Linked DNA regions of Caenorhabditis elegans. The protein of the gene in region 1 interacts with the protein of each later gene in a pairwise test. Each region holds a gene or a part of one and is shown in the gene's direction. Other genes may lie near its edges.

Evidence for each region.
Region 2: the proteins of glrx-5 (region 1) and gldi-4 interact in a two-hybrid assay, tested with the Caenorhabditis elegans proteins (one large-scale study listed by BioGRID).

The regions. Positions count from the first base shown.
Region 1 is NC_003281.10:12,371,825-12,375,576, reverse strand, and holds glrx-5 (Glutaredoxin-related protein 5, mitochondrial), read left to right. Parts: upstream 1-1,719; 5' UTR 1,720-1,735; coding exon 1,736-1,939; intron 1,940-2,715; coding exon 2,716-2,940; 3' UTR 2,941-2,995; downstream 2,996-3,752. Other genes in the region: pph-4.2 (Serine/threonine-protein phosphatase 4 catalytic subunit 2), read left to right, coding at 953-1,091; rpt-6 (26S proteasome regulatory subunit 8), read right to left, coding at 3,120-3,470.
Region 2 is NC_003282.8:7,015,715-7,020,747, forward strand, and holds gldi-4 (ZZ-type domain-containing protein), read left to right. Parts: upstream 1-1,911; 5' UTR 1,912-1,950; coding exon 1,951-2,152; intron 2,153-2,760; coding exon 2,761-2,984; intron 2,985-3,035; coding exon 3,036-4,106; 3' UTR 4,107-4,120; intron 4,121-4,166; 3' UTR 4,167-4,496; downstream 4,497-5,033.

The DNA.
Region 1 (3,752 bases):
GAATTTTTGTGAATTTTTGCTCCAAAAAATGCATTAAAATTGAATTTTACTGTCGAAACAGATAGATAAGAGCCTGCAGATTTGTACTACACGTGGACAACTGAGAACCCGATTTTTTACTGTTTTTTGACTATTTTTGTGAAAAAAAAGCGTTCAGAATGGTCTGAATCCGACAAAAAAGGATTTTTTCGAAACCGAAAACGCAAAAAAAAATGTTTTTTATCAAAATTGTACTTTTGTCATGATTTCGAGTAAAATTTTAAGGAAAAAAAGTGAAACAGGTTAATTTTCTAACAAATTTTGTGTTTTCGGTTTTTCGATTTTACAGAAAAGCGGCAAAAAATGTTTTTTTTTCAAATTTTCGATTTTCCTTGAAAAACATCGAAAAATGACACCAAAAAAACGGTCAGAAAATTTTCTTTTTTTTTAAATTTTTTATTTTCTGACCGGTTTTTGGTGTCATTTTTCGATGTTTTTCAAGGAAATTCGAAAAATTGAAAAAAAAAGTTTTTTGCCGATTTTCTGTAAAATCGAAACACCGAAAACACAAAATTTGTTAGAAAATAACCATAAAATTCGTTTTTTTTTTAAATTCTAATTTTGTTCAAATTGATGAGAAAAAACAAAAAAAAAAGCCACCTAAAAAGAAGAAAAATTTTCAAAATTTAATCTAATTTTAGAAAAATCTTTTTAAAAAAAGTCGAAATATCGGAAAATTAAAAACCCAAAATTTTTAGAATTTCAGAAAAAAGCTCGTTTTTCGATTTTATTAGTCGGAATCAACCCTGATTAACCATTTTCAATGTTAAAGACGAAAATAATTCGCAAAAATAGACCAAAACTTGTCCACGTGTAGTACAAAATCCTCCGTAAATCGACACCGCGCCGCAGGCTTGCAAACCCGAAACTGCGCCTTCCTATTTACAATTTAGAATAAACATCGAATTTTCAGATGCGGAAACGTGGCGGCAATCATGGAGGTCACCGAGGAAAATATCGACAGCGACCCCGTTTTTGAAGTTTTCGAAGCGGCAACAGTGGAGAATCGAGGAGAGCCGAAAAAGCAACCGATTGCTCAATATTTTCTATGATTTTTTTTTTGCGAAAAACCCACCCCCAATTTTACCCTCATTCTAGCACTTTTACTCGAAAATCTTATTTTTCAATTTCTCAAAGAAAAAAAATCTCATTCATTCTTGTGAATATTTCAATTACTATCCATTTTATCTAGGAATTCATATTTAATTATTTGATTATTTTATCATCATTTTTTGTAAATTCTCACCTCCTCCGGGTTCAAAATATTTCGGTTATTGTTTTCCCGCTCAAGTTCTCACCTCAATTTCTGGTATTTATTATAACACACGAGTGCTCTCCTTTCGAAGAAAAAATTTCTAATTTTAATTTTTTATTATTATTCCGATTTGTAAGAGTTTAAAAACTAATGCTTATTTTGAAATTTTAAATATTATCAATTTCTATTTAAAAAAATTGAACAATTGATTGCGAAATAGTGCCCTATGACGCCCGAAAAAAAATCATGTGGCCGATTTTATTTCGGTTTTTACTGAAAATTTATAGATTTTTTAAAATTATTTTTCCAATTTTTCAACAAAAATAATCAATTTTTTAGCCAAAATTTGAAAATATCTTTCGCGATTTTTTGGTGGTTTTTTGTAATTGCTTTCCTAAATTTTCCTCTAAAACCCCGATTTTCAGCCAAAAAAAACCAGCCATGTTGCGCGTACTATCACGTCAAGCGTTCTCAATGGTTCGAGCAGCCAACTTCTCGGCTTCAGCTTCATCAGCCGGTGGTGGCGGACTTAGCGATGAAGTTCGCAAACGAATCGACGGAATCGTGAAAAAAGATGATGTTGTCGTTTTTATGAAGGGAACACAACAGGAGCCAGCGTGTGGATTCTCGAGAAATGTTAAATTGGTACGGGAAAATGGAGATTTTGTGGAAAAAAGTGGAAAATTCAACAAAAAAAAATTGCAAAATAGGCAATTTTTCAAATTTGACTACTCTCCGACCAATCAGCGTCTTCGCGCTCCGCCCATACCGTCTGATTGGTTCAAAAGTGGGCCGAGCGAATCGCTAATTGGTTAGCATTTTTAGTGTAATTCTTGGGCTTAAAATCGCCTCAAAAGAACGATTTTCTTCAAATTTTTTGAAAAAAATTGCAAAATTCAGAAAAAAAATCAAAATAAATTTTACCAGTTTTTCCGTATCACAACGGCCAGCATTTGATTTTTATTCGATTCTTTTGGTAAAATTGGTAAAATTCGAGCTTAAAAGGCCGCTGTTTTAAAATTTTTTGAAAAATCTCATTATTTCGAGCTTTCCTAGCTTGAAGTCGACAAAAATTCGATGATAAATATTACAAAACCACAAAATGCCGAGAATGCGTACTGTGCAACACATTTGACGCGCAAAATATGGAATATCTCGTAGCGAAAACTACACAGTAATCCTTTAAATAAGACTACTGTAGCACTTGTGTCGATTTACCAGCTTTGATAGAGCCCGTAAATCGACACAAGCGCTACAGTAGTCATTTAAAGGATTACTGTAGTTTTCGCTGCGAGATATTTCATATGTTGCGCGTCAAATGTGTTGTGCAATACGTATTCTCAGAATTTAGTGCTACCGTAATAGTTTCGCTTTAAAAAAAAAAAGAAAAAATCCCAAAAAATCACATTTTCCCATTTCAGGTTCTCGACTTCCACAATGTAAAATTCCAAGACTACAACGTTCTGACCGATCAGGAGCTAAGAGAAGGTGTCAAGATTTTCAGCGAATGGCCAACAATTCCACAAGTCTATGTGAAGGGAGAGTTCGTCGGCGGATGTGATATTCTCATTTCAATGCACAAAGACGGAGAGATTTCCGACTTTTTAGACGAAAAGGGAATCTCGAATAAATATGGGAAGCAATGAATAATCCTGTTAGAAATTTAGACGTTTTTTTTTCGAATAAAGATTGCATTATTCAGCAAAAGAAGGAGAGCACGGGAGGTCAAAGACAATAAATAAATAGGGTCCATTTTTTACAATAAAATCAGTGAAAGGGGGGGGGGGGTAATCGATAAAAAAAGTCGAAATTTGCATTTTTATTTTTACTTCCACAACTTCTTGATGGACATATTCTTCTCCGAATCCTTCTGCATAACCTTTCCAACAGCCATCTCGAAATCCTCCTGCGTCACATGAATACGTCGCTCACGGAGCGCGAACATGCCAGCCTCGGTACACACCGACTTGACTTCGGCTCCCGATGCTCCGGGAATTTGCTCGGCGATCTTGGCCATGTTGATACCTCGCATCAAGTTCATCTTGCGCGAGTGAATCTTGAGGATATCGGCACGAGCCTTCTCATCTGGAGCCGGGAACTCAATCTTACGATCGATACGGCCGGGACGGAGAAGTGCGGGGTCGAGAATGTCGATACGATTGGTTGCCATGATGACCTGAACATTTATATATAGAAGCTTGGAATATTTATAGGTGGACTACGCTAAGTGGGATGACCGAATATTATGATTTAAAAAATTCAAAAAAATTTTCTAGATTTTATATGCTTTTTTGTTTTGAAAATTGAAAAAATCTCAGTTTTCCCCTAATTCCTATTTAAATTACTGCCAATTTAACTCGTTCGTTGGGGCGCGCTTGTAGTATTTTCATTAATTTTTTAAAATTTATTCTCATTATTTCACTGATTTTCTTCATTTTTTGAAGTTTTTTAATCGGAA
Region 2 (5,033 bases), on another chromosome or scaffold:
CCATTGCTATCTGAAGATGATTTGTTTGAGAAATGAAGAGGTAATAATAAAAAGTGAAATAAGTTAAACTAATATCCGATTTTTTAGGAAAAAGTTGTGGGCTTCCACATTCTCACTCCAAATGCTGGTGAAGTGACACAAGGATTCGGAATCGCGTTGAAATTGGCTGCAAAGAAAGCAGATTTTGATCGTCTCATTGGAATTCATCCAACTGTCGCGGAGAACTTCACCACGTTGACTCTTGAAAAGAAGGAAGGAGATGAGGAATTACAAGCTTCTGGTTGCTGAGGTTAAGAAGGGTCCAATTTGGGGGAGAATTTGGGTTTTGGAATGAAATGAACATTGATTTTATTTAGGATCTCTTTTTTAAAATATGAATTCAAAAAAAAAAACAAATAAACCTAAAATCTCAATGTCATTTTATTTCATCACCTACTCTCTTCAAAATTGGACCGTCGGTGGTCGCTAGTAGAGGCAGCTTTGTGACGACCTTTGGCTAAACTCCATCGTGAGCGCCTCTGGTCTGATGCGCCTCCAAAACGTCCACCACCCCTGATGATTTGTTTATTATAGTTTGCATTGTATTTTCGAATCTTCAGGGTTGTTTGTTCTTGACAATTGCCAATTTTTCTAAGCGAAAAGTTTGATTTAATTTTATTCTACTTGGCAATTTTCAAAAACGAACAATTATTCTCTTATCCAGTGTTTAAGTATGTCCTCTCACTTTTTTTTCAATTTCAATCCCGTACTTCTTCCCTATTTTTGGGTAAATCCAAGCCTTTTTCACTCTCTCTCTTAAATGCAATATTGTTTGGTCATTTTACCTTTTATTGTATGTGTTGTAAAAATAAATTGTATTTTACACCGAAAAATGTCCAATTCAGTGATATCATTATGCATGCACATCTTCCGCGTACGACAGCTTTTCCGCGTGATTTTCTGTGTTTTCTCTGTTTCTAGGCGCTCTCCAAATTTACTTTATATTTTTCCAAAATTCTATCTCGTTTTTGAATACACATATGTAAAACCGAAATAGAATGAAAAATTGGGAGACGGAGAGAGGAAACGAAAACAGAGAGAGAAAGAGACGGAGAGGAGAAAAGGCAAATGAAGGTTGCAATCTGTTTTTACACTTTATATTTAGTCTTTGTTCATTTCGAAATTAAACGCAGGCAGGCGCAGGCGGCCGATTGGAATTTCACGTCAATCCTTCCAAACTAGGTGCTTTTGGTAAATCCTGATTTTCTCTGTGCACAGAAGTTAAATTGTTGTTTATAAACTTCATTTTCTACCAAAAATTAACAAATCTGTAAATATTTGCCCCTATAACGATAATTTTAACAGAGATCGCGGCGAGACCCTCTCAAAAAACAGCGTGTGCCTTTGAACTGTCGCCGAAAAATTATTGTAAATTGTGATTCGTCATTTTGCAAGATGAGTCACTTTGAATAAAATCGTTTCAGCAAAAATGGGGGAATTTTTTACGGGAGAAAAAAAGTCCACAGATTCTCCAGTTATGGTTCATTTCTAATAATAATAGCCCAAACTTAATACCTCATAATCCAATTGACCCTTGTACCCCCGGACAAGTGGGCACACGCTTATCGATTTCTATTTCGAGGTACCACTCATTTCCGCGCGGGGAACACTTTTGTCTCTGAGTCTCCTACTTCTCCTTGCTCTTTTCCCAAACGTTCTTGGCAGAAGAACCTCTATGCATATATATCTTCAATGTTTATAATGCCATTTTCTGTTAGGTTTATAAATATCTTACTCGCAACCTCTCTCTAAAAAACAGGCAAAGAAATTATGCGAAATAGAAATTGCACACTGTTTCAAAATATGTATTAATGTTTCCTTAATTTTTCTCTCATATTGAACTATTTCTAGAACTTCGATAAATAATTCCAGAAACTTGGTATAACTTGATAACTTCCAATTGTCATCCCAATGATACCTTTGTGCCGTGAACATAACAAAACATGCCGTGTCAAGGTTAACTATCATTGGCGTGTATACAATGAGGATATCAACAAGAATGCTGTATTGGAACTCTCATGTCAATGTCAAGTCCTCGATCAACTCAGAAAAACGTTCGTCGAGTTGGGATCTTCCACCATCCATTCGGCTGCTGATTTTGAGTTTAGCTGCAGTAAGTTTTTTTTTAAATGAAATTTAGATGCACAGTGCCTGCGCGAATTTCATTGGTTATTTTAGGTTTTCCAGATACTATTCGAGTTGTTCAAAATAGTATAACACAATAATCAATATGTCCAACAAAATTTGATCAACTGAAAAATTATAATTATGAAAAATTGAATTTTATCTACGCTTCCGTTTTTCTATGAAAAGAAGTTACATCGGCTGACAAGATTTTTGAAGCATTTGGATGTGATTTGACCTGTCTAAAAATTGAGTTTTTGATGTTTCAAAACTATTGTTGTTGCACACACAGTTGACAAAAAACAAAGTAGAACAATAGAGGTTATAGGGAAAATATATCGTTTTATCAAATTTAATCTGAACCCAACCGCAGGTTGCTGTAACTTTTTCCAAAGAATTTATGATAATTTGTTTGATAACATAATTTTAGAAATCGTTAAGAGCAAAATTTTGTTAGTTGAAAATTTTCAAATCTAAATGAGCTAGTATTTGAGTTGTGCTCACTTTAAATAGAAACTACAAAAAAAGAAATACGAATAGAGTTTCAGCTGGCACTATATAAAATGTCAGTCATCTTATACCAGATATGATTTTCAGTTACCAAGGATGGCCCTGTAGTTCTGTCCAGTGGCTATGAGATCTACAACAACATTCGCCCGGAATTGAGCTTTTATCATTCTCAACTTCCTCAGCTATTTCTTCATGTCAGAATCTTGGATGTCTCGGTAATTGCCAAGTTGGATGATTTGGGTCGGACTGTGAATGAATGTAAGGCAACGATGAAATCTGACAAGGCATGGAGAGTTATGAAGGATACTGAGGTATTATTTTTCTGATTCGTTTCCCTTGTTTCTAAAAGAAAACTATATTAGATTGCTGAAGGACAACTCTCACTTCAAGAGCTTCTAGACAAGCAACAACTGGAAATCAAATCTCTTCAAAAGGATATTTCCGAAATGAAGCTTGAGAATCAGTGTCGCAAAAAAGAAGACAAAAACTCCTTCAAAAACAAGGAAGTTCACGAGGCTTCATGTGATAAGTGCCAAGATTTGATTATTGGGCATCGATTCAAGTGTGCTATATGCTACAACTACGATTTGTGCGAAACATGTGAAGCTGCCGGAGTTCATGCTCAGCATGCATTGATTCGATTGGTGTCAGAAAATACTTTGTTCCCCGAACATTTGATTGTCAAAAACCCAGAGGAGGTAAAAGATCAAAACGGTCAAGTTCAAGCAATTGCTTCTTCTCGTGACAGAGCTATCCAGGTTCCTTTGAGGAGATTGGGCATAACCCCTCAAGCCATCGCAACAAAGAACAATGTCTCGAGATATTTGAATGCACAAAGTGATCGAAACATTATTGAGGACCCATGGTATGCTCAGCACATGTCTAGCAGGAAACCGCAAACTTATGAAAGAATGCATCCAAAACTGAAAGATACAACTGATGGTAAAAAAGTTCAAAAAGTTTCTTTCCGCGATCGCTTTTACAAGAAAGCAGAATCTAGCCTCGATAAACACGAAAAGCAACTTCGATTCGATCTTTCGGCTTCACGTCAAGAATTCATCAGAGAAAAGGAAAAGTTCAGAGTTGAAAAGGAAACGCTCATGAAACAAAAGGAACAAATTGAAGAGATGATGAAGCAAGAAACTATAAACTTCGAAACGAATAGGGCTTTCTTTTCGGATCGTTTTGAACCGATTTTTAATAAAGTCAAAGATGGAAAGAAAAGCGAAGATGATACTACAAGAAAAGTCGAATTTGAAGTTGAAACTGCTGAGAGCAACTATCCCGGATCTATTTTTTCGGATGAAGATTCTTTGAGTGATCTTGCTGAAATTCTCAAAGACATTGAAGAATATGAGTGTTCGTCTGAGAGCTCTGATGACCAAGAGAAAGACGATTTTGATGTCGTTGAGGAAGAGGCTAAACAATCTTAAACGTATTGTTGAATGTGAGTTATCATCCCTTGGTTCAAAGATATTTATCAACAATTTCAGATAACAAAAACAGAGGATTCAACTTCCATCTTGTACTCTCAACCAGCACTGTAATTCCAATTCAAAAGGACTTTCCAAACGATAATATGCATTTCAATATTCTCATGAATCCTCCAAATATTTAAAAAATTGTTCAAATTGTTCATAACAACTTTCTTATCAAATCAGAAAACTCAGACTGTTTTGCAGAATTGCAAAAATTCAAATATCTAAATTTTTCCATTGTACTGTCTTATCTTTATTTTTTTATTTTTTCTGAAGTCTAAAATTGTAATTTTCCAATTTTGTGAATCTTTTCATTTCGCATTAATAAAATAAATTGAAAATCAGAATTTAGCTTGCCAATATACATAAGAATAGTGAGACAGGGGAGGATAAAAAATTAAAAAAAAAAAAGAATCTTTAATTGTAAAGTCTGTAAACTTTATGAATTCATTTTTAGATTCAAAATTAAAAAATCAGATCTTAAAAAAATGTAAATGTCAAACAAACCTTCTAAAACGACATACGTTTCTACTATTATCCAGAAGATTAATTTCGCGAGTTTCGTCCCAAAAGTACGGTACCGGGTCTCGACACGACAAAAATCGATGAAAATTCTGCTGCAATGAATTTTTGAAGTTACTGTATAAAAGGCGCACATCCGTTTTTCTGGGAGTTTTGTTTGACATCTAGATACTTTTTAGATTTGATTTTAATAGTCGTTTCAAAAAATATCCAGTGCAATGTATCTAAAAGGATTGTTTTTGCAATAGATCCTCGGTTGAACTTTTGTTTTAAAACGAATTGTTCCAGACACACCTTGTTGACTTGAAAATATTTGTCCTTTTTTTTCAAAATAAACTTTGTACTTCTTTTCGTGTCTTT